Linked DNA regions of Drosophila melanogaster. The protein of the gene in region 2 purifies or fractionates together with the protein of the main gene of each other region. This does not show direct contact. Each region holds a gene or a part of one and is shown on either strand. Other genes may lie near its edges. The genes, in order: coro, Faa and bru3.

The links.
Region 1: the proteins of Faa (region 2) and coro purify together in Drosophila melanogaster (affinity purification with mass spectrometry, with the first as the bait; one large-scale study listed by BioGRID). This does not show direct contact.
Region 3: the proteins of Faa (region 2) and bru3 purify together in Drosophila melanogaster (affinity purification with mass spectrometry, with the first as the bait; one large-scale study listed by BioGRID). This does not show direct contact.

What each region holds. Positions count from the first base shown.
Region 1 is NT_033778.4:6,860,143-6,873,049, forward strand, and holds coro (coronin), read right to left. Parts: upstream 7,654-12,907; 5' UTR 7,425-7,653; intron 7,383-7,424; exon of another isoform or gene 7,340-7,382; intron 6,999-7,339; exon of another isoform or gene 6,855-6,998; intron 6,800-6,854; 5' UTR 6,743-6,799; coding exon 6,545-6,742; intron 5,743-6,544; coding exon of another isoform or gene 5,725-5,742; intron 5,233-5,724; coding exon 4,966-5,232; intron 4,908-4,965; coding exon 4,494-4,907; intron 4,430-4,493; coding exon 4,136-4,429; intron 3,413-4,135; coding exon 3,206-3,412; intron 3,148-3,205; coding exon 2,920-3,147; 3' UTR 2,118-2,919; downstream 1-2,117.
Region 2 is NT_037436.4:4,071,532-4,080,608, forward strand, and holds Faa (fumarylacetoacetase), read right to left. Parts: upstream 2,424-9,077; 5' UTR 2,310-2,423; coding exon 2,223-2,309; intron 1,839-2,222; coding exon 1,621-1,838; intron 1,561-1,620; coding exon 959-1,560; intron 901-958; coding exon 554-900; 3' UTR 501-553; downstream 1-500. Other genes in the region: Gad1 (glutamic acid decarboxylase 1), read right to left, coding at 3,834-4,007, 4,065-4,409, 5,268-5,346, 7,219-7,286, 7,395-7,963.
Region 3 is NT_037436.4:13,792,328-13,801,912, forward strand, and holds the start of bru3 (bruno 3), read right to left. Parts: upstream 6,201-9,585; 5' UTR 5,697-6,200; intron 1-5,696.

The DNA.
Region 1 (12,907 bases), on a different chromosome or scaffold from region 2:
AAGCTAATTAACTTCTCTTTACGAGGCATAAACTTCCGCCATTATACGCATTTATTTTCATGCGAAAATAAACAAATACCCAAACACGAGCCGCCGACACGAGAAAGTAATGTTTTGACGGCTCCTTTTGTGCGCGCGTATACTTCTTTATGCATTAACAGGACGAGGAGCACGCAAGCAAACACAAACAAAGCCACGGGCCGCGTGAATTTACGACAGAGCCGCCGTCAAGGGGGTTCGGTGGGGGTCCTTTTGAGGTCCTGGAGAGGCGATACCTCTGCTGGTACTTAGCAACTTTAGCAAGGAGTATTTATTTAGCACGTGTTCCCACGTCCTTCTGCTCCTGGCACATTTGCTGCTTGCTTTTAATTAACAAATGCCTTCCATCGGTTTCGACAATCGTAGAGCGTTAATGTTAATAGAAGGCCGTAAACTTACCTGGATGCGGAAGTAGACATAAATTAGGCTTGGCCTTTACTGCCGCCGGGCATCATAATCTACTGGCCCATCAAAAGTCATGATTATAACTTGATTTGATAGCGGCTTTGGTCCAATCTGTCTGGATTACTGAAGAATGCACAATCAATGTAATTTTTGCATAAATGTACTACCCAAGTTACTACCAAGGATAATCACAGTACTGACAACTAATGCTGCAGTAAGTGCATATAGTGTAATGAATTGTCCTTGGAAATTCATAAAGTTAGGTGATGTCCAGCTGGTTTTTTGAAGGTTACTTTTAAATTGGTAGGAAAGCCAAATGTTAAACAAGTTACCAAGCAATTTCAAGAATGGATACATCACTTGACAAATGACTTCTTAAATGGCCATTTTAATTCATCCATTTGACGGCCAGATCACATTTCTAATCACATCGTGCAAAAGCCACGTAGAATAGAACATTTATTTAGGGAAGAACCCTTCACCTTTGCATATAATTTTTTTATGAACAGTTGGAGAAGGGTTGGAGGAAACTGTGCATTGGGTCTTTAAACAAGTAAAGCGCTAAAAATAAAACAACCTACACATTTAGCTATCATTGCTTTACAAATTCCATTACCCTAATCCGAAACCGACTGTTAACTTTTTTCAAGACCTCATTACCAAATGGAATACTTTAAGCCAGTACTGAAAGTTTGTTACGATTAATTACTAACTGAAATACTCGTACATCTCGACGCCGGCTGAAATTTATTGACAGTCTGAAAAACGAAATCTTAGTTCAAAGTTAACAAATGCATCTATGACTCAGTTAATAATTTGATCGAACTTACTTAATATAATTGATAGTATTTAATGTTGAACTCCGAATATCAAGTCCACGTCTGGTTGCTCTAGAGCAGCTAGATGGCCTTTACTGTTGGCTAACCAAGATGGCCCACAGCTACCGACTGCAACCGATAATCGCTGAAACTTGCAGTGAGTCAAATTGCATAACAAACATAATTTTAATTAAATCAACAACTTGGTCGGCAACACACTATATCATAATTGCCACGCGCCACCCACAAAAGCGCACTTGGCCAAGTTTAATTAAAATGTCAGAATCGTTGTACACGTAAATTGTAATTGCATTTTTTTGGTTTGCTCGCTGAGGTAATAATTACACACAACACATCGGCAGTATGCTCAAAAGCTGTTTAGGCAAAATTAAACGAATTTGCATATTCAATTGAACCGAACACATAGGCTCGGCAATGAATAACGCATGGATGAGCTTATTTCTGCAATTAAAAGTTGTCAATTAGTTTAAAGTGCAGCTGGTAAAAATTCCATTGTCGACTAACATCTACATATTTGAAAATGCTGCTAAAAGAACACACATTACGAAAAGAATTAGATACGAAACACCTCCATTATTAGCACCCAACTTCTTCTGGCATTGTATTTTGTTTTATTCCGTATCAAATTGTAAATTATTTGTATATAGAGTATTTATGTATGTATATGTATATAGTCTTCATTTTACAATGGTTGTGAATTACAAAATCGGTAGGTGTTTAATGACGCTGCTCTCGCCCTCGGTTCTCTAACAAAACTAATGAAAGTAAAATCAAATGAAAGAAAAGAAAAGTAAACAAATTTTTATAAAAATAGTTTCGATGGTTTCTTACTTTCTTTCTGATTTTGTTGCATTTATTGTTACTCTTATTATTTCAAAATACAGCTTATCATTAGTTTGAACAATAAAATTTTGATTACGAAAACGAATTAAGTCCGATGACCCCCATCACTTTCTTACTAAATTCGCTATGTTTGACACGACAATTTGCAGGGAAATGTGACTGATTAAGGGGGCCTCAGCTAGGATGAACAGTATCGATTCTATCAGCTATTGTCATGAAAACTTCCGGGACGTACAAATATACAGACGTTACAGAAAGGAGCTCGTACAAATTTGGTAGGTAGGTGTTAACTCTTAAGTGATTGAGGTTTAGTCTATGATTTGCCTTTGTTAAATTTACAACAATTTCATACTTGCGTAACAACAAGCCGATCAAAGGGCCGAGTACCTGCCCTTCGCTCTGCTTGATTTTGGGCGCAAAATGTAGGTAGTTCGTTAGGTTTTTTATATATTTTTGGCAGGATGTAGTTTTATGTTATGTTTTATACGTTAAGCGTCCAGGTCTGCTCGGTTATGCTCGCTTAAGTTCGATTAGATGATTTAGCTCGGCATTCTCTAACCCTATCTGTGCCACACCCGCACTCAACTGATTTCGCTAATATTAAATTATAAAAAATAAATAATCGAAACCATAATGGTAATAGACAATAAGTTCTTTTTCAATTCGTCCTCAGCGCGCTTTGTTGCAATAGAGAAATTAAGCGTAGCTACGAGCTTCTACAAGCAGTTCTCTGTCTCTCCTCCAATCCATTCCGCCCATTTTTATCAGTTCAGTCCTCGTTTCATTGCTAGACCTAGTCCTCGTCCTTTGACGTTCCGGCTGATGTGGACGCGTGGTCGTTGGCACTTTCACTGGCTTTGCCGTCAGACGTGGCTGCTCCCGCTGAAGCCGGCGCAGCATCGCTTCCATTCTTGTTGCGGGCGTCCTCCTTGGCCTCCAGAGCGCGGATGCGGTTCTCTTGCTTGACGATGATCGCCTTAAGTTTGCGGATCTCGTCTTGTATGGTGCGCAGGTCCTTTTCCTTTTGAAGTGAACCAATAAGTTAATCATACAACCGCTGAAGGAGTGCAAGTACTCACCGATAAAACCGCTGCAGGCGGTCCACCTTCGCTAGCCTCATTGTTATTTCCGGACGCAAAGTTGCCGCCGCCCGCGCTGCTGCTCGTTGCACCGGAGCTAGCGCTGTCGCCTCTAGGCTTGTTCAGGATGTTGCCCGCCTTCTTCGCTGGTAGCGATTTGTTTACCGACGAGGACACGTAGCCACCCTGTACAATGGAAACGCGATCCTGATTAGGCGGGTAAGAAAATCTGTTCGTTTCAGAACACAACAAACAACAATGAACACAACGACAAGCGCCACGCGCATTCGCGTGCGTGTTAGGGCCAAGTGTGCATTTATGCGGCGTGTTACTGTATCCAATAGGAGACTTTAATAAGTTAGCTAACATTTAGAATACTAAACCATTTTAGATCATTGTGAATACTCTTTATTCCGGTCGTCACTAAAACATTCTTAAGATGCCTCGTCTCAAGTGACATTGTACAACGGAGAACGAGGACTGTAGTCTGTGTATTGGAGTGGAATGTGGCTGGGCGGACAAGGCACAAACGTAGATAACGCAGAAAAAACGTAAGTAAAGCAAGCGCAGGCATCACACGCTGGTAGGTAGCCACCGGCAAATGCTGGGAGTAAGCTTTAAACGGAACTCACAAGTAGCTCACTTGGAGTCCTTGTGCTAGCAGACAAAAGCAACTGCAAAAGCCGTTGGAATACATTGTAGAAGGGGCGTCCACAGTGGCAGCGACTGCCTCATCGACTTCGAGCCGCATTGCCATCTGTGGACAAGCCCCGCTGGCGCACATGCTGATATATATCCTATATCTTGTACGCTCTTATCGCCGGCGGAATGGTTGGCAGTGTGGCCGAACCGTTGCCGCATTCGGCGGCGAGCGCTGTATTCGCAACACGGAATAAAAGTCTGAGCTGCTTCTGCACCTTAGCCACTTACTTTGAGCGAAAATGTGATCGGATCCGCATCCTTGCCATCGATCCACTCCTCCGCGGTGATGGCAGCGTCTTCCGCTAGCGTATCGGGGTAGAGATCCTCCTGGAAAAGATCCGATTTGCGCGGCACAGTCATCGAGATGACCTGACACAGACCGTTGTTGTTCATGCGATAGAACTTGGCGACCTCGCAGGTGGTCACATCACAGCCTCGCTTGGGCATCAGACCAATACCACGCTGCGGCTCTGTAGTCTGAAACGTGTTTATGTAGTGCACAAAAGGAGGTTCGGGCGTTACCTGTTCGATGAGATTTTGGTTAGATAATATTCATATGTAATATTGTAGATTTACTTGTACTAACCTCGAAATACCGAATGACCGAGTCACCTTTTCCACACAAGTAGATCATGTTCGTGTCTGCGTCGTAAAGAGGGAACATTACGCCGTTGGACGTGTCCAGCTCCACCATGACAATGGGTTCGTTAAGGGCATCCGGTGCGCGCAGGGAGTACTGACGCTCCGAGCTACGGTTGAAGCCTGTGGTGAAGATCAGACCGTGACGTAGGAAAATGGCCCTCGTGGCCTTGGAGCCCTCATGACACATGGCTTCGCTCTCCAGCTCGGCAGTGCGCGGATCGTAGATGCGGATCTTTTTATCCTTGCAGGTGGTAACCAACTTAGAGCCATCCCAGTTGAAGCAGGCGCTGTAAACGATGTCCGGATGGGAGTCGATGTGCACGAGGATTTCACCAGTGCCCACGTTCCAAATCACGACCTTCGCAATACAGAGAGTATAAGCATGGGCTTCTGAAGAAGTGTTAGCATTCGCTCACCTGGTTATCGGAGCCGGCGGTAAGCAGCACGTTGAGCGCAGAGGGATGCCACAACACCAGACCCACGCGACGCTGGTGGAAAACCAGGTCGACCACGGGTTCGGTGAGTGTTCGCGACAGCCCGCCATCGGGGATCTGCCACACTTTGACCACACAGTCCTCTGAGCCGGAGGCGATCACGTTGTCGTTGTGGGGGCACCAGGCGATGTCCAGCACAGGACCCTTGTGACCGCCCACCAAAGGGTGGTCAGCCGCAATGCGACCAACCTGAAAGAGTCCATTAAATTTCAATTAGCTCGATACGCCACAGTAAATTTTTATAATTGATGGCGACTAAGTCATGAGCAGCAACCATTGCAAAACTGCAACCTCGCGACCCATTAGCCCAATTCCTGAATTATTATTTATAGCCGACTCCGACTGCACTCGGTTCTGCTATGTTCGCTAATCTGCCAAGCAGGCAATTTATAATTGTAAACTTCATGCCAATTGCTTCCGAATATGGCCCTAGAATTATAGAAAATTGGAATGCCGAATAGCTCCCATCGAAATCTATATATTTCGAAGCATATTATAACAAATAGTAATGGTAAACTATTTCAAATTTAACATTGTTATATATTATTAGATAATATTCTTTGTTCATCGCTTTCAATAAATGTATTAAAATGTATCATTCCAAAAAGTTTCTCGAATGAGTTCCATGAGTGTAAATCTATTTTGGTTTTTTCAAGAACTTGTGCTTGTTCTTGCCTACACTTGCCACATGCGGCCAACCTTGGCGACTAGATGGATCTCACTCATCATCCAGTGCCCATAAAATAAGTAAAATAGGGCGTGTGAAAGCCGCTCCACATAGAAATCATCACTTAAAAAAGCGGCAACTGCTTAGAGTGAAAAAAACGATCGCTTGCCGCGCGTTTTGCATACAAATTTTTGTTTCAAATGGAACGACCATCGGTGTACTTCCATATATGTTTTCATCAAAAGAGGAGCATCGGAAGATTAGGGGAATGGGTGCTTCTGCTGCCCACACTATTTGCTGGAGCTGCGCGCAAAACTACAACTAAACAGAAGCCCGAATAGCTGAATCTGGGGCAGGACGGCCAAAAGATTTTGAGATTGAAAATGCAATTTAGTGGAATACAAACAATTAGTTTTTAGCGGAATAAGTCGCCGAGCTGAGTGTGCATTTCGATGCAATGATTCGCCCGAATATCATTTTTGTATTCATTTAACTGGCTGCTCCTCTGCCTCTCTCTAAAATTAGACGATTTGTTTGTCATGTTGGCTAGTGGCCAAATTACAAAAGTGCGCCAGCTAGCAGTATCGCTGCCGCGGTAGTAGCAGAATCTATAACTATTTATAAACACATGTGAGATTGGGTGGAGTCATGCGAAATCCGTCGACGTCACTCGCGACGTGGCAACAAGCCCGCAAATGGCCGCAAACTTTATGCCAAAAGGGCGCTATAAATAGTTGCCCATTGTCTTGTTTAAAAATACCCCACCAAGCTGGCCGCGTCGGGGCAGACGCACGTAGACGAGTGCAACTATAATAGGTCCGGTGGCGCACTCACTTTGTTGTGTGGCAGGACGATGAAGGCTCCGCCGCCCGCCGACTCTACGATAATGGCCAGGAACTTGGGATTCACCGCGCAGAATGTGGAGTCCCAGCTGGACTTGGATACCCGTATGTTGTCGTAGCACTGCTCCCGCTTGAGAGCCTGTCCGTAGACGTGGCGGAACTTGGAGCTGCGCACTACGCGAAATGACATCTTGATGCTGCAGTGGCTTGGGTCAGCGATCAGTCCTGAGCTTCTCTACGTCTAGCTCTGAAAAGAAATGAGACGTACGAAGGATAGTTAGCAATGTAGGGGAATTTCTTACGCGTTTGGTATTTTCCACCCTTTGCCCTTAATAACAAGTCTTCAAGCGAAATCGTTTAGCCGTATTCTTTCCGCACCTGAATGAGATATGAAACCCCTACTTTTTGGCAGAGATTTGAACACTCATTTGATAGGTTTTGTTTTCTACACAGTTCTGTGAAACCTGAAAATCGTGATCTTAGCCTTATCCGAGTTCTGAGCGACGCATAAACCGACCGAATAGCAATGTTATTCGCTTTCAGCTTCGCTCACTTATGTGTTAGCTTAACGCGTTTTTCTTTCACCGCGCTTCGCAGCCTCGATTAGTTCAATAAATTTGCATATGCTAATTTCGCTTGTTGCGAAAATCAATGAGCTTTCCATTCGCAGCTTGCTATTGACGCGCTGACTTTGTCCGCGAGAGGTTGCATCAAATTGCTTATGGCATCACTAATGTTGGCGACTGAAAGCGCCGGAAACGGCGGGAGGCGCCTAGAACGCTTTCACCTGCCACTTGGCAACTGCCACATTCGGGTCCACTTTCGTTAATGAAGCGCCAGCCGGAACGTGTCGAACTATCAGTTTTCCATACCCCTTTCTTTCAGGATGACATCATAACGCCAAAATAGCCACTCCAGCAATGAGTAGCCTTCCAACACGTAAGTTATGGCTGAGCAAACCGATCCCGCAGGCCAACCTAAGCCCAAACATATACCTAACACTCCGGGAGACTTCTAGATAGCTACGTGTTTGAAGCAGAATTCATTTCTGGGTTGGGCCGAGCCCGGCAGGCTTCCACTCCGAACAGCTTTCGTTTTTAATCAGAGAAGTGCCATAAAATTATTTGCCTCTTTTGCCTCGTTGCTTCGTTTTGTTTTGCTCAAAGATATTCATATTTATTGCAAGCACTAAACTTTGTCATTGACCCCTTTAAACTGGCCCCAAAGCAGACCCCAGAATTGATTACTTTCTACGCTGTCTGTTTTTGGCCACAAGGTGAGCCCCGGAGGGCTTTGTTCTTGGGTGGGTGTGGGTATCGACATGGCCTCTCCACTGATAAGGAAATATCAGCTCGGAGTTGGCTAAACACCACAGAGATAATGTTAAGTGCTACGCCTATGTAGTCCAAAACGACGCCGAAATGTTTGCCACCAACTGGAAAATACTCCTAAGCACTGTACCCGGAATATATCTATCTATATATATATATATATATCTGCGGCGTGTGTATGCGTTGTTATTTATGTGTTTATATGCCAAACACCTTCGTTTGCAGGCGGGAAAATTTTTGTTTCGCGGCTGAAGGTCAAACTTATTAATAGAAAATTAAATCATCTTAGGCGAAATGAAATTTTCATATACAAACACAGTGCACGATGCTCAAAGCAGCGTTGTAAATCGCATTTGATGTGTTTATTTATTTCGTTGGCATCGCTGGCACCTGCCATGCCTGAGTTATCATAGTCGAGCCACCCCCATCCACTCCCACTTCCCCGATCGATCATAATTGCATTCGCAATTCCGCTCGCAATGGCCAAAAAAGTGGCCTCTTCTGCGCTTAATCAACTTGACCGTCGGTGGTTTTATCAGCGGACCACTCAGCGATTAACGGAAGTGTGGGTTCAAGAAAATCGCTGAAGAAATGAAAATCTTTGAAGAACTCATTCCCGACGCCCATTACCCGGGTGGTGTGATTGAATACCCAGCATCACATTGCATTCCATTCTTTACAGTGGGCCCCAAATGTAAGGCTGTTTCTGAAGATATTCGAAAGGAAATTAAGTCAAAGGTTCAAATTAGTACCGGATCTTCAAAACTCACATTAGATGGAAGTCCACAATCTACCTAGTTATTGTGTTTAAGTCTAGTATTATATTTATTCACAATAGATGTCAAAGGTGCGAGCGTCACTAGTTTCTCAAATTGTTCAACAGTGTTTTTCTTTTCTTCTAAAAACTCGCTTGAGTACATTCGGAAATTACCTATAACCTGCGATTCTGATCAGGAATATATTCTTCATAGGGTCGGAATCGTTGCAACGTTTTCGACGAATCAGAATAAACTTCTCTATAAATGAAAGGTATGTATACCTTAATAACAATGAAATGGGGTTAAATAACATAATGATTTTGATAGTATAATTAGAATTAATAGAATTCCGTTTGAAAAAGGTCTTGAAAAAGGTCCTGAGTCAGATTTTGGTTCTAGGAGGCGTCTCTGCCAGAATTAGAAACAGGCTGTTGCTGAATCATTATTGAAAAGTAACCAACTAATCCGCACGCCACTTAACCAGCGGGTGTCAACCAACTTTCAGCAGCGACTGTCTTGTAATCGCGTTAACCATTTGACAATGGGGCTGTTGTGGGGCCCTCCAGCAATTTGTGTTGAAATCGCGAGAGATGCAACCGTCGCTGAATTGATGCGAATGCGATGGTCCAGCGATCGGGGACTGGCCGAGAATTGACTTAATGCTTGATTGCAAATCTTGCCGCTTTGTCGACACGTTGTGTTCACCGGCCACTTCCGTTATAATGACATCTCTATTCCCCAAGTACACTCGAAAAAGAATCTATTAAATGTGTAGGACCACATGCCATCATGGTTTCCGGATTAAAGTAGCTACAACTGATAGTTCAAACTTTTCCTAAAGCATAGGGCACAAAACCATTCTTGTATAGACAAAACTGTTATTAATAAATATGTATTAAACATACTCCGCTTAACTCATGTGTAGAGTTATTGGATATGGAGTTTTGTAAACTCAAGTGCTTCCCTTTAACGTGTCACCACAATTACATAGAGGCAGGTGGTTTAAAACAAAATTAATACTATATAATTATGGATTAAAACTTTGTCTTGATACGTGAAGATATCAGACCAGTTGTAGCTCAGTCAGGTGTTATCAATACGGCATCATACATTGTATACATATATGTTTGCGTTGCGCGGCTTGGTTTTGATTAACTCGTGGTATCTTTTCTTCCTGTGCACAGCTGCAGCGACACCTAATCAGCTGGCCAATGATCAATGCCACATGCATGAGTCACCCCTGATAAGGGGCCCGCTGTTTATCGGCTGTCGGCTGCACTGGAAACTTTCGCCGTTCGCCTCATCTCGACTGGATGGTGAGGTTGATGGCGATGATGATGATGATGATGTCATTGATGCAGGCGCAACGTCATTGGTTGTGCAGCTCATATACATGCACATACACACACAGGCGTGTGTGTGTTGAAGGTTCATCAAACTGATTGCAGAGTGTGCGTGCCTGACGGCGATTAGCCAAAGTTTTTGACAAAAAGCGCGCAAGTGTCGCGGCAGACTCACTGGCTTGCAGCACAGTGGGTGTCGTCGCTGTACGAGTGAAAGTGGAACTCTGCTGCTAAAATTAACCCCATGCATATGCAGTGCCCCACCCGACACCCATCACGTCCCCTCGCCATCACAAGTGGCGCTGGCTTTTGTTGCTGTCTTAATTGCCGCTCGTTCTTTTTCTCCCCAGCTCCCCCCACTGTGACCGCCATCCGTTTGTTTCTATTTTTCCATTTGCGCTTAGTCAGACCGGGCGGCAATTGTGAATGCCTGTGCACCCTAGAAATTCAAAGTACATGGATTTTTTTGAGACCGAATGGGCGAATAAAAGTACCTTTCCCTTTTAAGAATTACACATTCGATGCCTAACTATAGCCCTGAACGCGTATTCCAGGTAAAACGATGTCTACCTGATTAATGTGAAACGTGAAGCACTGAGAAAAAATTATCCCGGGATTTTAGAAAATCACCTTTTATTCTCAAACGCTATAAAGACGAGCAATTGAACAAAGAAGACTTTTCTTACGTCTAGAGATATCCATGTAATATTCATTTTAGAAAAGTTAAATCAATGGTTTTAGAAAAGCTTTCAAGAAAATTTTTTTTCTTTATATGTATGTTGCCATTACAAGAAAAAGAAAAATCCGTAACTAATGTACACTGATGCTTAAATGGGTGGAGATATTTTGAATCAATGACGGTTTCCTAAAATCAAGGTTAATTTTATTCTAGGTGTAGTCAAGTAAAAGTTAATTTATCCAGATATGGCTTAGAAATAATAGATAAATCACCCTATGTAGGTTTTGTAGATTAAATTCTAAATTAAGGTTTTGGGCTTTCTTAAGCATTATTAGCGATCTATATTTTTCGGTTCCAAGTCTATGATGATGATAATTTCTTAATTTAATATTAGTGGGTGGACTGTAAAACTCCAACTTCAGATGTTCCTTCTATCCAAAAGGGTATTCAAGCAGTGGCTTCCCAAAATTACGTGCTTCCTAGTTCTTTTCGGAGGTATTGCCGCCAATTGGCGTGTCCATTGCCAGTCTAACTGGCGTTCATACGTGCGCCTGTTTTGCGATCGTCGAACAGCTGTTGTTCGCCGAGTAATCGCGACATTGGCTGACGCATAAACGCGATCGGCGTTTGGACTCGAATGTGTATGTGTGTGTGCTTCATTCCAGTGCATTTCTCATATTTTTGTCACTAATTGGTGTTGGCTAAGTTTCGCTTCTTAACCCATTTGGGGAGCAACCGAAATAGCTGTGCGTGTGGGCGTATGCTGTGCGCTCTCTCGCTTGCTCGCGCGCACTTTGGAAGACACCTCTGGAGGTCGCTTGTTTTTCACACTTGCTCTCGCTCGCACGCACGAAATGAACCGTAATTGTGGACTCGGGCCCATTGGAAGCCACGTTTATGGCTAGCCAATATTCCGAAATTTTAAATGCCAGCTCATTTTGGCGCCCTTTGAGAGCACACCCCCTTCGACCATCAGTAACTTGTTGCTTCCACCAGCAACAATTGGCACAGTCTCTCCCCCTTTTCCTTTCTCCCGCACTCGGCCACTCTTCCCCGCTCTCTCGCTCACGCGCAGCGTAAACAAGTGAGAGCCGGAAAGGAAAAGCCAGACAAATTACAGCGAAACGCAAGGAAGAAAAAACAAATACCATAAAAAAACAATTAATACAATCAAGTGCGAAACAACAATTTCGACTGCGAGTTGTTTGATTTCATTCGCTCGTTTTTGCAACGTTTTTCGGCACTGGCGCTGCCAAAGACGCTGCTGCTTGGCTCTCTTTATTCCCTTTTTTGGGTGTTGGACTCATATAACACGGTGAGCGAGCGGGAGAGCTGATGGCGAAACTTTTATAGCGGTACTCTTCACATGCACTGCGTTCGCCGCTCCGCTCGCACAAGAAAGCACGCACACCAGCGCACGCACGCCACACTCGGCGCACACATGCTCACACGCACACACACGTATGGTCGCAAGGCGGCTGTCGCACTTATTTTTTTACCGTGATTTTTAATGATTTTGTAATACGCGCGTTCATTACTTAAGCGCCGCATTTGCATCGAGCACTCGCAACGTCACCTGGAAAATGCGCAGCTTCAGCTGACACCGAGCTTAAATACTCATATTCCGCAAAAATACCGCTGTGATTCATTGCAACCGCTTTGCTTTTGCTTGACATTTAATGTGGCGGCACAGAAGCGGCCGCAAGAAACCAAAATACCACCACTCACTTTATCTATCACTCCACTCACTGGGGCCAGCGCATTCAGCGGGATTCAACTAGAGATTTTGCACACGACTCCGGCTGGAAACTTAAGGCACTTCTTTTCAGACTTTTCAGTCAGCAGAAAGACGGGACGAGTACAAAATGCCGACGAGAGCGCGCTGAGCATCTAAGAGCAAGTTCGACACTGTTGTTCGAGGCAAGTTGTTGATATCAGCGCAGTTCGCGTTCACGTTCACCGGGCGCTGCGTTCATCCGCGTGGCGTTGCCACCTGGGCCGAAACTGCCATGGAATTAGCTAGATCCAGCTATTGTTTGTGTTGGGCTGAAGGCTCCCAATTGGACAATTTTTATTGACCACTTAAATAAATATAATTGCTTATTCAATATCTATTATCATTTAATTTCTTATCTAAATCCAAGTCCAAGACAGTAAAATATTTTTTAATTATGTACCAGCAGAGCTGTCGGAACTAAGAAAATCGCGAAAACATAGCAACATTGTCTGTCGGTGGCCGCATGC
Region 2 (9,077 bases):
CCGGCGCCAGTCGCGTCTGCTTTGCGCTGCACGGCAGCTTTTTTTATTTCTACGCTTTTTAGAGGCTTTTTTATGGCACTTTAAACAAGTTTGCCCGATAGGCGGGCCGTTTTGCCTTTCTGCCGTTTTGCCGTTTGACTTTTCGCAGCGCGCCCACCTTCGCCCGCCGACTTTCGAGGAATGAATGCGGTTTGCTGCTCCGCTCAGCTATGCTCCCATTGGCGCTCTCCGCTCTTCTCTGCAGCCAAAGAAGAAGCGGCGTGCGCGTATTTACGAAGCTGCGTGGAATGGCAGAGGCTCCGATTGGAGCGAGAGTTGTGTAAACGAAAGAGAGCAAGGCATCGTAGCGAGAGAGCGAAAGAGTTGAGCACTTGTTGAGCTTATTACTGTGCACCGAGAAAAAATATTACGTATACGCTACTATGGATGGCCATTTATCCCAAAAAGTATGCTTTTGAACGAAAAGTTGAAGTTTTCCGAACATCATAATGTATTGACGTATCCAGGAAGACTGAATAGAATTTATTTCATTTACTTATGTTAATAAGTGGTCCTACTGCGGAACGGGGTGGGCAGGCAGCACCTGACCCACACACTCCCCGAATCCGATTCGCAGTCCGTTCTTTTCGCAGTGGCCACGGATGATGACCTCGTCAAAGTCCTGGAGGAATTTTCTGGTCTTACCACCCGGAAGCTCCAATGTTTTGGTGCCCTTCCAGCAGAGCTCTAAAAGTGATCCGTACGAGTCTGGAGTCTCACCGGAGATCGTTCCGGAGGCCATCAGATCACCAGGACGCAGATTACAACCGGTGACTGTGTGATGAGCGATTTGCTGCAGTGGAGTCCAATAAAGGTGTTTGAAGTTCGACTTTGAAATAAGCGCTTCGTTTTGATCGGCGGCTGAGAAGGGGAAATTTTGTGAATTAACGTAACAAATCTTTAACAGGCGGCAACTTACGTTTCAAAGACACCTCGAGGTTGATATCAAAGTTAAAGGGAATGTTCTGGCGCAGATAGGGAAGCACCTCCGGTTCCTGAGGAAAGTTGTCCAAGACGAAGGGCTTCAGGGCAGCTGTGGGCACTACCCAAGGGGAGATGGTGGTTCCCAGATTCTTTGCGGTGAAGGGGCCCAGTGGCACATATTCCCACTTCTGAATATCCCTGGCACTCCAGTCGTTCATCAGCGTGAAACCGAACACGTTCTTCCAGGCCTCATCCACGCGTATGGGTTCACCCAGCTGATTTCCCTTACCACCGATAAAGAAAGCCATTTCTAGTTCGAAATCCAGAAGCTTGCAGGCGCCAAAGACGGGCTTCTCTGCTCCATCGGGAAACGTTTGACCAAGAGGACGACGGATGGGAGTACCGGAAACCACCACAGAACTTGCACGACCATGATAGCCCACCGGCAGATGGCGCCAGTTGGGCATCAGAGCATTGTCTGGTCCACGGAACATAATGCCGACATTGGTGGCATGGTGGATGGATGAGTAAAAGTCTGTATAGTCACCAATCTGTGCAGGCAGGTGCAGCTTGATCTCAGACTGTGGCACAATGGAACTGATAAATAAATAAATTATTAACTATGAATAATAAATTATTATAATAAATCCGACTTACACCGCCTTCAAGTCCACATTGTGGTCCAATTCTGAACCCTTCGTCAATAGCTTTTGAGTCTGGCTTCTTACCACATCCCAAGCTTCAAAGTCCAATCCCATAAGCTCATTCAAAGTTTCGGCCTGCAGGCTTTTCTGAACTTGGAAAGGAAACAACTGCGAGACAGCTTTCAGGTCCAGGACATGCTCTCCAATGGCCACACAAATACGGTGAACTTTCTACGGATGGTAAGATGAAAAACACCATTTACGATATACAAATACGATATATGATATGGGGCCTTATCAGAACCTGGTTGCTGGGGTATTAAAGATTGGATTAGCATATTGTTTTCGTAAACAAACTAGTTTGTCTTGGATGATGTATGCAAATGCTATGCCCCAAAGCGGTTTCTGTTCTAAAGTTGATTTCTAGAACATGTGGAACGATCCAAAGTCACATGAAACTGAAGAAAAACTTGAAAATATTACACGGAAAACAGGCTGAGTTAAAGGAACATTTGCTTTGCCATTTACCACTTTAGTTATCATTTACAACAGCGAGACCATTGTTCTAAAATCTCATAAAAATATAAGATTTGATTTCAGTATGATATCACTCACATTGTTTTCGGTTGAGAAGACAGCGTAGGGTAGATTTTCCAGCGGAAAATCGCTGTTCTCTGGCACTGGCACAAAACTCTGGGACATTTTAAAAGCACTCAAAGTGGAAAACTTGGGCAGGTTGGTGCGAATCAATAAAGTGAAGCAGAGAAGCGGAAAAAGCGTGCGCGGAGCCAGAGTGAGCTAGATAACAACTGAGGGATTTTCTATTCACGATCCGCCTTATATAGGTGCTCAGACCACAAGATCTTTCGGCTCTCTTAGCAAAACCAAGCCCCCAAAGGTAAAGAGCGCCTTAGACATAATGAAGAGAAATTTTAATTGCGCTTTGATTACTTTTATTTATTTTACTCATATATTCATATATATAATATATTCATTTGCATTTATATAGATGTTGGAATAATTCTTGTTTGGCATTGATTTGGATCTGCAAATACATATACATACATTAATTTATACATACATAAAATGAGCGTGGTGCTGGATAAACTTAGATAACACGCTTTAAAGTACTATAATTGTTGAATTTATTGTAGTTTTTATGCCATTATTTTCTTACTTTTGCGGAATTGACAAACGAGTTTTGTGCACAGGTAGAATGTAATGTCTGATTGTGTTCTTTTCATATAGGGACATTTCACTACCAACCTTTCTGGAACAACTAACTGATTAAAACTTAACTAAAATCTGAATCTTCCAACATTCGTAATTGAGCTTAATTGACTCCGGGCAATACATATATACTTGTCAGCCATTTTGTTGAAACTAAACTCCAACTAATTCGATTATACGTATTCACGTCTCTATATATAGCACAGTTCGATACATGGACTAAATGGGTTCTGCGGCACAGATCCCCTCTCTTTGGTTTGTCTATACAATTAACAAGCACAGGTCTCTTTCGATCTTGTTTTTATAAAGGTACGCGCATGGCTATAGATATGATATATTTGAAAACATTCTCTGTTTGCAAACAAAGTGAAATCAACGAATTGAACTAAGGTCCTCAACTGGCTCTTCATCTTCTCCTGATATGTTAAGATAGCGTTCCAACAGTTTCTATATCATATACATATATATCATTATATCATCATAGTACTTTTGTGTGGGACTGGGGCTGTCTTTCGTTTTGGTGGTGCGTGTGTGGAGCGGTGGCTTCTATGCTCTGAATTCTATCGTTATTTTTCGGTATACATATAGATATTCAAATATAACTTGTGGATTCTCCTCTCGCCGTCCATTGATTTAGATATAGTTGCCAACGAACGTAAAAGTAAAACGCCTCGATTATACATAGTACTTTTTTTTCCAACTCCGGGACGAACGGATAACGACGCTTAACGAATAACGGTCAACGGATAACAGAATGAGAAATCGTAAAGGAACATCTAGCAACACGTTATAGATACAAACAAATGTACATTCAACATTGAACTCTGATGATTACCGGGATACCCATAATCGCCGGCTCTCGGATCTCTGGGCTCTTCAGCCGGTCTCCTGATATGCTTTTACCTAAATGATACTTCTTGGTTGTGTGAGATCTACCATTACCAATCGAAGCCGAACCGAACCGAGACGAGCCGAGCCAAACTAGACTGAAACCCCTTACAAGTCGTCGCCCAGGCGATGGATCTCGTCCAGCATAAAGTCCACATCCGCCTCGTTGACCGCCGCCGACGAGATAATCGAGCGGAAGAAGTTGGGCCGGCGATCGTCGGGCTGGTAGCCCACCATCAGCGTTCCCTTCTGCATCATGCGGCCCTTGATGATGGGGCAGATCTGCAAGGATAATTGGAAAGTGTTTAGCACTATACCGCTATATAATGACGATCTTACCTTTCCCAGCTCCACCTCCTTCTTGGCATCGTGTGGCACTCCTCTCAGTCGCTTGGGCACATACCAGAAGGAGACGTTGACGCACTCCGGTTCAAGGATCAGATGGAAGCGGTCGGACTGCTCGCGAATGCGCTTCAACTGGTACTGGACCAGCTCCATGAGCCGGTCCTGCTGCTGCTCGAAGCCCTCGGTGCCCTTGGCCCGCCACTGGAGCCACAGCTTGAAGATGTCGTTGTGGCGGCCGCACTGGATCACCTTGTCGCCGGTGTCGTAGCTAATGTCATACTGCTTGTCGGTCATGAAGAGATACTCCGCCGACATCTGATTGCAGCTGATGAGCAGGCCCTGCGTGAAAGATGTACAATAGATATACGAGTATGAACATATCGATTTGGGATGAAATCGCTCACTACGCAGCAGACGTAACTCCGCTGTCCATAAGTCAAGCTGAAATTTTAATTAAAATTCCGCCTGCCAAAAGACGCAACTGTGACCGATGGTAACATATTGCACGGGATGTAAAAAAGCCAGGGTGGTGACTTGGCGCATTTGGTTCGTCAAAGATTTCATTACGCATTGTGTGTGCGACTACCCTTGGCCATTTCGCTCCTGGTTTGGCAGAACGAACGGAACGAAACAACAAGGAATTGTTCGGAGTACAATTGGAATTCTTTACACAAACATTGTTCGATGTGCATCCAGAAGAATTTTGGGTGAACCGTCGAGGGGGAATGGGCCGGTTGGAAAAGGAATTTAAAGCATGGGGTTGAGCTAGGGGTATGCCTCCAATTTGTATCGCTTGGTTTGAGTTTCTGCGGGGGGGATTGGTGGTGGAATGACTCCTCCGACAGGCTGGCCTTTAATTTTAATTTGCAACTCAAAGAGCAATTATTCGTTTATTACTTTGCAAACAATGATTTCAGTGATTTTGGGTAATAAAATACGAAAAATGTGAGGTCACAGCTGTAAAGGATATACAATTTCGTTTGGTTGGTGGGGCTGCAGAACAAATTGTACGTTGCATACTTTTGTAACATGGACTTAAGCCACAACTCCCATCGAAATTCCACAAGCTCTGCAAAATCGATGCTACCACTTTCTAAGCCTTGAAATCTTGCCAAACTTTATTTAAATTTAAAAAAATGTTAAAACACCTAGCATAAATGATTTAATAAATTGATATCTCTGTAATAGTATACTTACATCCTCCTTGAAATGGATCGTGGAGCACTGGAGCAGGGCTCCCATGAGCTTGTGGGGATTCCAGGTGACCGAATCGGCACTGCAAGAGTTAAACGCACGGCGTTAAATGGACATTCAATTACGAATTACAAACAATTAACACTAAGCTGCCGCACTGCGGTACAATTCCCACTCCCAAGGACACCAATCCCACCCCCTGCTGTTCGACAAGAGTTCCAAAAAAAAAAAATCTAATGGGGGGAGGGATGCGGAAGGTCCTGGCAAGTGCCATAAATTGTGGCAATTTCAGGCCGCAGCACTTTAATTGAATTCAAAAGAGCGAGGACAACCCCCTGCGGCACTGGAGGGTTGACATTGACAGCTAAACATCCCTGTGGGAGCTATTTACAGTTATGTGGGCACTGAGAGTGTGTGCCTGTGTGTGGGCTGGGCTTGTAAGTGTGAGTGAGTGAGTGGGTGTCTATAAACATGATCCTTATGGAGTGCCTTGAAGTATGCTTCACTTTTTCAAGCAGTCTGCTGCTATGGGAAAAAGGGTATATGGTTTGTTTTAACGGTTTAGCATATAACAAATAATTTAAATACTATAATATTAGTCATAAACTTATAAAGAAAGTATTTTAAATATTTTGTTGCAGTAAATTTGAAATAAGTTTGAAACTCTGTGCTTTAATGTAGATTGACTTCAAACTTAGAGGAGTATCATTTAGTCGTAACACTTTTGACGTCTAATGCTTATTTGATTGAGCGGTGGCATGTGAAGCTAAACTTTTAAGAAGAGATTTTCGATTGTTTTAAGTTTGTTCGCAAATTGAAACTCAGCGGATTTAAGAGCCTCCTCCATCGAAGGACCATTAATCAGTTGCGTAAGCCGCCGAAGGCCACAAATTGTCAGCTGCATGGGCATTTTAATGATTAATTCGCGCTGAGAGCCTTTCAATTAAGGACCTCGATTTGCATGCCACAACAATTCGGGCCTTAGGATCCATTCAAACTAATTGAAGGCGTTCGCCTGGGTGATGGATGGACGGAAGGAAGTCGAAATGGGAACGGGAGTGGATGTTAAGTCCTCCTCCGTCGATGGCAATCAATTTGAAAGTGTTCTGTGGAGTCGGCTGCTTGACCGCAAGCTGTCGATTCCACGACAGCTGCACTTGCCGCATTTGCCTAAGCTTCCCGAAATGCTGAGTAGAATTAAAGATGTTATATGAATTGCCGAAGTAAATGGATTCGGGTTGGAAACGTAGGTCGTGCTGGAGATGGAGTAAAGTGCATTTCAGGTTGCGACTTTAAAATTAAAAATTCCTAGCCCCGGGGATGAATCCCTATTCCTGACTTGCCCGCCCATTCATTGTTTGGCGTAATTGTTGTGTAAGTAATGCCCATGGCCATCCAAAACACCCCCCTGGGCTAGATGGATTGGTTGGGAATGGGAGAAGGGGAAATCCACTTTGTTCATTTGTTTGTTCGGTCCAAAATGCACTCGGCTTGTGAATTGTAATCCCTGTAAGCTCTGAACACCTGATGGAGGCACTAAATGACAAATTGAGATTTTTCCCACATGTTCAGCACGCCGCCGACCTTCAAAAGGGGGCGGCAAAGTCGAGCGATGCGGGCCATTTGGGAGCATTTAGATTTAAATTTACCCAAACCGGGAAAGAGATTTCAATTTTTTGTTTTGACTGGCCCTGAAGATGAGGGCGCCCAAGGCACAAAGTTCATGTCAAGAACGATGATGAATGGGCACAGCAATTGCTTGGGACAAAAGATAAGGTTTTCCAAGGGGTTTTTAAAGCACTTCTGAGCAGCTCACTGGAACTTGAAGGAGTAAAAGATGGCTTAATTTGCTACATAAAAAGTATACCGCACTTAGAAAATTACTAGGACTTAACTACTACAACTCCAAAAATATTATTTGAAAAATGTAATATATATTTTTCTAAAAACTTACCGCTCAACACCAGTAAATCTGGGATGACGATGCTTACGCGACATCAACAATCCACCGCCCCAAGCAGCCTGGAAAAAATCAGAAAAAATTAGTAATTAATATTACAATATACGATCCTTGCAACTATTAAGTATCTATTGTTTTTTTTCTACTCAATTAGATTGTTTTGTTCTTACATCGATGTGCATCCAGCAGTTGTACTTCTGGCAGATATCCGCAATCGTGTTGATATCATCGAAGGCACCCAGCACAGTGGTGCCGGCAGTGGCGTTCACAAAGAATGGAATGTCACCCTTGGCCTTGCGCTCCAGGATCAGGCGCTCCAGCTCCGAGGTGATCATCTTGCCGTGCTCATCCGATGGCACCACAATGCAGTGATCGGTGCCCAGTCCACAAACGGCAGCGCATGATTTGATCGAGTAATGGCACTGATCCGAGGTGAACATCACCAGTGTGCCGGGCAATCCCACCGAGCCGTGCTCCTTGTAGTTCGGGAACATCTTGTGACGAGCTGCCAGGAAGGCATACAGATTGGAGATGGAACCTCCGGGTGCCAAAATGGAATCGCCACCCGACCAGCCAATGATCTCACGCATCTTGGTCAGCACCACATTCTCCATGAGAATGAAAACTGGTGCAATCTCGTAGGTGAACATGTTGGTGTTCGCAGTGGCCGTCAGCCACTCACCCGCCATGGAGATCAGGTCCAGACCGTTGGACAGCTGATTGAAGAAGTGGGGATGTCCTGGAAATTGTTAAAGAAAATATATGTATATGTTTTTAGTAGAGACCTTTCATCAAATATTTTGTAAGTCCGCCCTCTAAATTTGAATTCCAAACTTTAATTAATATTTCCAGTGGTAATACTTTTGACAGTTTGTATGTGCCTGCCTAATGTAGCTGAAAATGCTTTCCATTTAGCCACGGCTGTCTGGCTGTCTCTCCAAGTCTTTTCTGGGGACTTTTCTCGCTTCTCCGGAGAACCGAGTGATTCTAAGCTGACAGCAGATGTGCCTGGCAGCTGTGCCTCTGCCTTCACCCAACAACCCATCGCCCGCCCCATCAGCCACCCAATGTTTTTCGTTTTTTGTTTTATTAAAAATATATTCGAGGCCAGTGGCAAGTGAAACAAAGGCCGGGCCAAAACACGGCTGACTGGGCCCGAAAGGAAGAAGAATGTGTATAGGAATAGACTGCCGGAAGTGCATATGTTCAAGGGCAGACGGTACAAGGTCCTGGTGAATCAATAGCGGATAGTCTGCTCGAAATCCGTGTCCCCGGCTCAACAAGTTTTGCCCTGTAATCCTTAGACCCCGCATTCTGTGAGCTCTATAAATTGCTCATTTATTGTAGCTAATTGCGACTTGCCGAGCTTCGATTTTGGGGTGAAATATGTGCAGAGTGGGGCAAAACTCCCACGAAGAATCACAAAATGCTTTCAGTCACCATCAGGAAGCTGTCCAACTGCCGGATTTTTACCCCGCTCCACTATACTCCAGTTTGAACCCTTCGGCGTCTGTCAGTTCACATCTTGAGTGCCATAAGTCGTGTGATTAAAATCCCATTGCCCACAAGGCTAAATCCACCCACAGAAATAAAATACATGCACTTGGAAAAAAAAAATTGTCCACTAAGTAATGATTAAAAAATAATTGCAAGCCAAAGAACACAGCAAACATTACCCAACATAAAAACTATCATACTAAAATTTCGTATAAGCCAAAGCAAACAATCTAAAAAAAAACAGTTTAATAATATTTTCCAGTTTACTGAACTTTTACAACTTATCCGTTTTTTTTCTTTTATTAATTTCCCCATGTGTAAACTGACAGAGCGTTGGCATCCAAACATTTCAATTT
Region 3 (9,585 bases), 9.7 Mb from region 2:
TGGTTGCCTCACCCTTAACATCTGACTTGTATTTGGCGTGAGTTGGTCGGTTGTTGTTCGTTACATGAAAGGGCAACTTTGTAACAACAGCACGGCCAAATACAACAAAACAAAGTACACAGTTTTATAATAAAAACCAGTAAGCAATCCAACAAACCGTGTTGATAGACGCTTAAGCTACCCCTTGCCCAACTTGTTAGCCTTATACGAGTAATATCAAAAATCACTCCCCAACTGTTAATCATCGCCCGAAATTGTAATGGCATGTGCAGCAGTCAGTCCATCCTGCCACGTCCACTTATACTCCCCATAAACATGTATGTAACAGCTTGTAACAGATTTCTGGGGGAGCAGAGATTTTTGTTTTTGCCACCGTTTTTCAACTCAACTCTTTTCCGTGTAACTCATACTACGCTGTGTCTCTGGCCTTCGAGCTTGCATGCGAGTTTAAAGTTGTTGGGTGCCCGGTTTAGATTTACCTCCGACCCACCAGAAGCACCCATCCTACTCCATCCCCAAAACACTCTTTTCGTGTTGCCGAACTGAACTGGGAACTCTGAACTGTGAACTGGGGCGTGGGTAGTAGGTAGTAGGTAGTAGGTAGTAGGTAGTTGGTAGTGGGTACTACGTAGTGGGCCTTGGGAACCGAGAGCTGAGTTGAGAGACTAACGGCAAGCCAAGCGCCCCAGGTGCAAAGTGTAAATGAAGACTGATTGCAGTGCACATTCAGAGGGGGGCTTTGGGGTGGCTGGGAGAAAGGATAAAGAAGAGGTTGCGAGTACAAGAGTGGCATAAAAAACGCTGCTCTTTGCCCGACCCCCTTGTTTGCCGAAAAACGGGGGGTAATTGCGGTTAAGTGCTGGTTTATTGGCTTGGCAAAAAGGACTTAAAAGATATTTGAATTTGGCAACGCGACAAAAATACAACCTGAGCGATTCTAGTGCCAATGTATACAATTACTTGAGCCAGGTGGAGGGTAAAAAAGAGCTTGACGATTTTATTGAATCCTGATTATATGGTATGGCTGCTGATACCAGCATAAATAACTTTTACAATTCATTATACCAACATATAATTCATCCCAACTCGATTGTTGGCTTTCTTTCGTCCACATTAATTTCTAAAAGCATTTGCCATTCATCGGGATGCAGAGCCCCATCAGCGGGTCACATTAAAAAATTAATTTTTTAATTGAAATACAAACCTCCTGGCAATCCGGAGAGCTCCCAAAAGGGGTGAATCCGTGGGTGGATCCAGGACACTCCACATTTGTACGTGTGTATGTGTATGCGTTCAGTTGGCGGGGGACAGACAGCTGCTGTCGCTCACTTAAGTTAATACGCAAACCAAATGTCACTCAACATTATCAACAGCAAACGTAATCAGTTAAAACTTTTTCCTGCCTCGCTCTCCGTCGCTGTTGTTGTTGTTGTTTGTTGTTGTTGTTATGGGCCTAAACCATTCCACAGACCGACAGACTGAATGACAGACAGTGGTTATTGTTGTTGTTGTTGCTGCTGTGCAAAAAGTTGGCAACATGTTTGTACTTTATTTCAATTTTGTATGTCCTCTACTTGACTCTGCTCCGACAGGCAAGCCAACGTTGTGAGTGCTCAAAACAAAGGGAAATAAAAGCACGTTTTACAACGAATCCTAGATGTTCTGCCAAGCAGCATGTGTATTATCAATGCCGATCCATTTCCTATTAACTTATTGATTTTTGCAAACATAACAATCCTGCAACTGACTTGTTGTTTATGATACAACTAGACATAGCCTTGTAGCTATATTTCTCCTAATCTACAGGACAATGAACGAATTTCGTCAAGCAACTAACTACCCATCGACTGTGCGCTATTTCCTCGAAAAAGCATTTTTTTTCTATTTGGTTTCACTTTTCGGTGAATGAAAACTGAACACCAAACTGTAGGCTGAATGTCTAAATTTTGCTTTGCTGTTGAGGGCCGCAACCTGATATAGTCCTCCTGCCTTCGCAACGAGCTTGTCGTAAGTGCTCGCGGGTTTTTGCATATTTTTGGGCAACTGCTCGCGCCGCGTCACTTTCCAAAACTGCTAACAAAGGGCAAAGGATGGGGCACGGAGGCAATGTGGAGCGGTTTCAGAAGCGAAGTGGCGTGTGTGGGCCACTTGACAGCCGTTTAAATGCATTAAAAAATTACCTACTCTAACATGAGCAATGGAAAAACGGGAGGTGGTGGCAAAAAAAAAAAAAAAAAACACAGGCAAACATGTCAGCCGCCCAATTTCACATGTGACAGAAGGGCGGAAGCGGGAGAAGCGTGAAGGGCTACGTGGATGTCACGCTCGACGGCAAAGTATGGAAAAATCAAATCCATTGCAATTGCCGTTCGATCTAAAGGGGTCAACATCAAGGAATGGATTTGTTCTGGGCAGGCGTGCACATTTTCAGAGACCTACCAAACAAGCTTCACTCAATCAGAAAGCAACTTCCTGATTTTGAAGGCCTCTATTGAAAACTCATTTCAAAACTTATTCACATCGTCTATGGAATAATATAAGCTTTGTGACGTATATATATTATAGATTAAGCCTTTATCTTAACATGTAAACGAAAGATTGGCGCCCAACGTTTTTTCTATTTGTTCTTTAAGAGCGTGCTGTACAGAACTTAATTTTTTAGGACCAAAACATTAGAGAACATCTAAAATAAAAGACTTAATAAATATTAAAAGTGGTATTTGTAAATGCGAGCATGTGAAATCATTATTTCTGAAGAGCTACAAATCCTTTTCTGATGAGTTCATCCTTTTTGTTAGGATATCAAAGAAAAACCACATATACCGGAGGAAACAACTCAGCGGAATACCCGGGCTGCAAATTACGGACCTGGGTGACTGACAGCGTCCGACTTTTTTTTTTTTTTTTTTGGTGGTCCTGTCCTGTTCCGGGTGCAAAAACGCATTACGCATTCACTTTGCTCAACACTTGTGTTCATTTCATGCAGCCTATGCCCATCCTCTCGCTTCGATCCCATTACCACTGCTCGCTTACCGCACTCTGGTCTGTGTACTTTTGTTCAAATATTCATTGCAAATTCCAATTTAATTTTCGCTTAAATTGGCAATACCAACAGCGAAATCTGCAGTTGATAGCGCCGCTGAAGTTTGTTTTCTTTAAAGGTATTTTCAGTTTTACCTGCGTGTTGGTGTATTTTTTTTAGTGCCGCTTTGCGCAGATTAACATATTTAATAGTAACTGAGAAAAGATATCATTAAATAGGAACGAGTTGTACAATAAGTATTTTGCATATTTTATTTCCACATCAGCATTATTATAATTTTATCTCGCCAATTTATCAACTGCACCATTTAAGCTACGAGTTGTGAAGCACTATAAATTAATTAGAGTTTGTGAAACAATTTTTGGCACACTGACTTATAATTGAAACTTTCCTACAAGTGCGGCAATTGCTAAATTTAAAGACGCAAAAGTAGAACCATAGAACGGAAAAAGTTGAGATAAAGGTTAGATAAAAAAAGCTTAAATAGGCTTAAATAGTTTTCTCAATTATAAAGTTTATACTTTCTTATTAAACTTCCTATCCCCTTGCTTGTTTATACAATTATTCTTAAAGGTAATTTCACCTAAGGCGACAGCCCATTAATACCAATTTTATATTAGTACATTTACGAGATTTGCTTTACCAGCTCAGTATGCACAATATAATAGTCTCATGCTGCGACATTCTTTGCTTTATTGCCTTAAGATTTATGTCATTGAATTGGCCTGATTGGGCCAACTGGGTATGAACCAACTTGGCATTCTTTCCAGTTTCAATAAATGGGCACATGCTGCGTATGAGCAATATTTCAATTACATTTTAAACGCTTACCAATAGATTTCATAATCTTTCTTTTACTATTCATAAGCTACTATTTGAAACTTTTCATTGAATAAGTTGTCAAAGGAGGACATGTTATAAACATTTCCTGTGAGAGAGACAGTGTGTTAGAATTGCCCTTCAAGGGGCCTGAAAAGGTCAAATGGCAACGTAAGTCAACGCCGCTTCCTTTCACTTCATTATTACTTTCTAATCCATACTTATTCTATTTCTAATTAAACAATTAATAATATAAATTTTTCAAACTATTATAAAAAAAGGAAAATAGTGAAATCTTATGTAAGGTTATTGCTGTTAAATTTTACCCATTGATGTTGCAAGCGATTGCAGTAATTTACTAACTTACTTCTGGGTGAAATGGAGAAATTATGGCTTATATAAATCGCATTGATAAATCTCTGGCCAGCACGTAATATGGAAATTAAAACACAACTCAAACAAAGAGCAGTCTAGAAACGGCAAAAACCATCTCACCCACATGCACATTTACTTGCGCGCCAAATGTTTCCTCACATGCAAAATGGACATGCAGCATTGTTTTAATTTTTTAGTAACTTAACAAAACGAAAACGCGTTTGGTATGTCCAGGGTTCGCAAATTACAGTGTCTACTTTTTGTGTTCTAAGTATAAAAACGGCAATTAAAAATTACTATTCCCTAAGCGAACATTTAAGATTAAATACTACTAGTAATATCAATTGGTCTTAAAATGAACTCGAAAATAGTGGAATATATTGAGAACATTGTAGGAAAATGTTTTCAGGCCCCAAAATGAAAGAAAATTGTCAAATGCAAGACTTGTCTCCAAATCAAGCCCTAGATGCCAGACATTTGTGGTCGGCCAGCTAGGTTTCTTTAGCAGTCACAGGAAAATCTGGTCTATTACGTTTGTGACCCAACATTTTTGCAGCCTCATGGCATGGGAAATGGAAAATTGTTACTGAAAATCGCAGACTCCTCCAGACCCAGGCATCCGTTTGCAAATGTTTCAAGTTTAAAATGAGCGTGTAATTAGAAATGTAAAGAGGGTAATGAGGAGGGCAGCCCAGGGTAAACGGAAAGTGGAGTCGAGTCAGCTGCCGAGCAAAAGTCACTGCTGCGTCTCGTCCCCAGGAAATGTACCACGCAAACGAAGAAAATGGCGAATAAAATTGAAATAAAGTGGTGCAAATGCAAAAACGTGCACACACCCGTACAGCTCACCTCGCCGCAAAAGTGCAGCAAGCACCACCTCAAACCGTTGGAAGGAGGTTGAAGTTTCTGCTCCCAACAATGAGTAGCATAAAAAGTTATGTATAAAAATCTTTCGCTATTTTTTGCTTGCACTTCCGTTACAAGGCGAACCGAATTTGCATGTGACATTTGTGGTTGGGTTTTTGTTGATGGATGAGGGTCGACAGATATCTTTGAATCAGCAAAGTTGGCTGATAAAGCCATGAACGACGTTGTGTACGTGTGTTTAAATTAGAAAAAACTGTGATATATTTACCAAGGGAAATGCAATGGTATCTTAATTACAATTTTTGATATGTTTTGATAATAGTTAGAGGATATTAAAAGATCGCTGCATGAAAGATTAAGGAGTCTTTTGTGCGATGAATTAAACTATAATAATACTGTGCAAATTTACTGAGATAGTCGTTTGATTAATGTGGGCTAAAAAAATAAAAAGAGAAACGGACATATATCAAAATATAACACTATGAATATGTAAAGCATCTTCTTATTCTATGAAACTTTTGACTAAAATCATTTTAATAATTTATATTTTCAAAAATAATTGTTTATCAAAAGTGTTTATTTTTTTACTTACCACTTTGTAACGCCCAATTAAGCTGTAAGCGCTTTAATAGCCAAACATTCGAAAACACGACGAAAAGTATTTGTTGTTTTATTTGCTGTATAATTCAATTTGTTTTCACGGTTAGCATATGTAATATTTACTCTGCATATTTATTCAATAATAAATATAAATTTGTATTTCATAATTTTTTTTTTTTTTTCACCTAACAGTGTTTGCTGGTATTTAATGATCTGGCGCACCTCCTGGTCTACACGGTTTTATTACACATTGCATTAGGCACTACATTAATTCCTGATGTTTTTGTTGTATTTTTTAATTTCGCTTACGCTGTTTGCAGAATTAATTTATAAAATATTTAAAGAACGACGCGCCGCAAGCTTTTATTTTTGGTTATTTCTGTTTGTGTTGTTTTTTTTCCCATGAATTATTGATGGCGTTTGTTTTGTATTTTGTTATTCATTTATTACTTTTGATAATATTTTTTGCAGACGCTGTAAAACATAAATGCACAGTGATGTTTAAAGAGGGGGTGTAGGGGGGCGTGTTACAAATCCATATGAGGGCGCGTAACGGCGTGGCGATAATAAACATGCACAAACACAATAAATTTTACATTATAAACAGCAAGAGCAACAAAATGTACAATTAGCAACAGCGAAAGCATAAATTTCGGTTAAGAGTTTAAACGCGAAACAGCAAAATCTCGTATACGCCATGTGAACGCGTGATAATTATGGCTTTTGGGCACGCAGTATAGGCCACAGAAGATATCTTGAAATTGTTGTGTATATTTTTTACATCACTTTCCCGACATCCTGCAAAATGAGCGCTGAAAGCGAAATGTTTTCCAGCAAGGACATGGACGCGAGGTGGCAAGGTCTGTCAATAGCTAAAGTTGGCTGACGAAGCCAAAAACAAAACACTGGCTGCGAAGAAGCCAAGCGCAGCCTTTTGGCAGCTGGAAAAACACATATATGTACACGTCTTTGTGGGCGCAGTCTGGGCTAGTAAAAGGCAAGCGCGGAGCAAAAGGACTCTGGCTGTAGCGACAAAAAAGGAAATCAAGCCAAAAGCTGAGAAAAAAGCGCAAGCGGATGATGAGACCTGACTGGCCCAGAAGAAAATGAAGAGAGAAAAGCGGCGAAAATCCAGAGCCAAGTGATACAAAAAGGATACTCCTCACCCATTTAATGGCGAAGTGTTCATTTCGGGGAAAAGTACATCATCCTTTCTAGGTGAATACTATGAGTAACAGTCATTTATCGGTGCGGTGTTTATTAAGGATACTTGGGCTGTATATCTAGCTTGCGGAGAAAAGCGAGATCTAGGTGACAAGAAAAGGATACTTCTTAGCTATTAGAGAGATGTTTCTTAGTATATGGATACTATGATTCCTTGTTATTTATTAATAAGATTAATATTACACAATAATTAGCGGAAAAGAACGAAAAAGAGGCCAAGAATAAATACATTTCTTGCTGGATACTATTCTCATGTGCCTTGAGCAACTGACGCGGACAATGACGTGACAATGAACAATTATGGGTCAGTTATTGGCCATCTTTGTCCATTGTCATTCTCTTCATTTCTTGAAAGATCCCCTTTTAATGTGATTTATTGATTGGAGGTCAAACTTTATACGTCCCACTACCTCGGGGCATATATGTATATGCCATAAAAAAAAGGCAGAGAAAACGTATTTGTCATGCCTTCCACTCTGTTATCTTTCTATCTTCTTTGGCCCTTATTCTTTTGCCTGTTTAGCCATTTTCCATGATGACTTGGCTTGTGTACGCCCGACTAGGTTTTTGCTATTTACACACGCCTACATGGCAGGGGTCCCCTTCTCAGCCTTCAGAGGCCATAATATCTTTGCCCCGCCAGAATGGCTGCGTCGTCTGTTTTATAATTTTCACAGACGTCGCCCCCATCACAAGCCCCCCTCCCCACCATCTTTCAAGTGCCCTGGGTTGACACTCGCACATTCAAACACTTCATAAAAAAAGCCGCGCTTGTGCCCATTATTTATGTATATTTTCACCTACATTTATTTTATTTATGGAAGGCAAAACGAATGGAGACAGTGAAACTAAAAAGGAACGCTGTGAGTTAAGATGAGCCAAAAAGCCTAAGGGAGAAACATCGAAAACACCAGATGAGAATGGAAGAGGATATCTTTAACACAAAAAAGGAAGGACTTTGCCGGCATAAAAAACAGGCGCTATTAATCAGAAGCTCAATTTAAAGGCAAATTTAAAAAGCTGCGAAATACTAGCGTTTATACGTTTTTTTTTTTTCAATATTTAAAAAATTTTTACACTATTTTTTGTGTGCAAATAAATCGGTTAAAATAAATCATATTAATTTAATTATAACAAATAAATCGAAAGAACTGCGCAAATAGAGAAAGAGAAACTAGTTTTAATTGTATCCACTTAAATCAGCCAGTAAAGCTATCGTTGCTGAATTTATCAATTAAATATTTTTTCTGCTCTTGTGAACCCAACGCCAAGAACCCAATAAACATTAAGTTTGTATGTTTGCTTGTGTCATAATAAGCATATTTAATAGAAGCTGTGCCTCCACTGCCGCGCAGCCATGATGCATTTGCATATATGTCGGGGCATAAATATATAGAACGCAATTTATATATGCATCTAGTTAAAGTTTTTCCTCTTTTTGGTTATGGCAGCGGGCGGAGAAGGGTGTTGACTTGACAGGCGTCGGGGGAGGAGGTAGAGGTGGTGGAGGGGCTGAGTGCAGAGGGCACGTTCGGATGAAGCCTGCACTTGTCACGCCTTGTCTTCTTCTCATTCACCATGTCTATGTGTGCGCGTGTATGTGTGTGGGTGTATGGGTGTATATGTGTGTGTGTGTGGCGTTATTTGCATGGGGGCGTGCGTGTGTGTGCGGTTTGGCCTCGTTGAGAATGCAAAACAAAAACACAAAAATGAGCAAGCGAGATAAATAAAAAGGACAACAGTGGAAAAAAAGGACGAGACTTAGAAGGCAATGCCCGTGGCTTTCTGGGTCTGCCCATAAGTGTCTGTGTTTGTGGATGTTTACTTCTGTGTATGGATTTGACGACATTTGCTATATTGTAAGGACCAAAACAAGCTTAGATCACACTACTGTGGAACGATTTAAACAGAGAGAATCCTCTCAAAGGCCCTGGCAATTCTGGCACCATTAAGTTTTGTAAGTCAGCTTAAATGCTTCTTTACAATTCGTCTTGTTCCTTACATGTGGGTACAATTTTGGTATTTTTAAAGTTTTCGTCTTTAGTCAACTACAATACTATTTTTGCCAATTTTCTATTTCTCGCCAAAATAACGTTATAGATTTTTACAGCTACTCACTTAAATGCCACAAAAAGGGGAAAAAATTATTTTTAATAATCGTCACAAATCTTTTCATCCGTGCGCTTCTGCCATCAAAGTTAGTAAAAGTCAGCGGAACTCGAGGAGTTTTAAAGTACTCATAAAAAGAGAGTTCAGAGCTGAGGAACTTGAACTGGGTATTGTAACAAAATAAAGCGTAGAAAATAAAGGTTGGAAATAATCAATAATGAAATGAAGGAGTTTGCCGAAACTTTGGCAATAAGTGGTTTTGGGCTTGGCTTCCCTCGGGCAGACTCCGTAGGTTTTGCTTAATTTTGATGCCTTACTTAAATACCAGGCAAAAGTTGGTATAGCAACAGATGCAGCTTGCGATTAAGCTGAACTTTTTGTGAATATTTCTGTCGCTTAAATATTACATTAGTCTGCCTAAGCCCGCCACTCCTTCTTAACCACAACGGGGTAATGAACTCAATGCGCGAGAGGCAGTCAGGCTCTGGAACCACAAGCTTAAGGGGGCAAACTAATGTATATTAAGAAAATACGTTTGCTATTATACG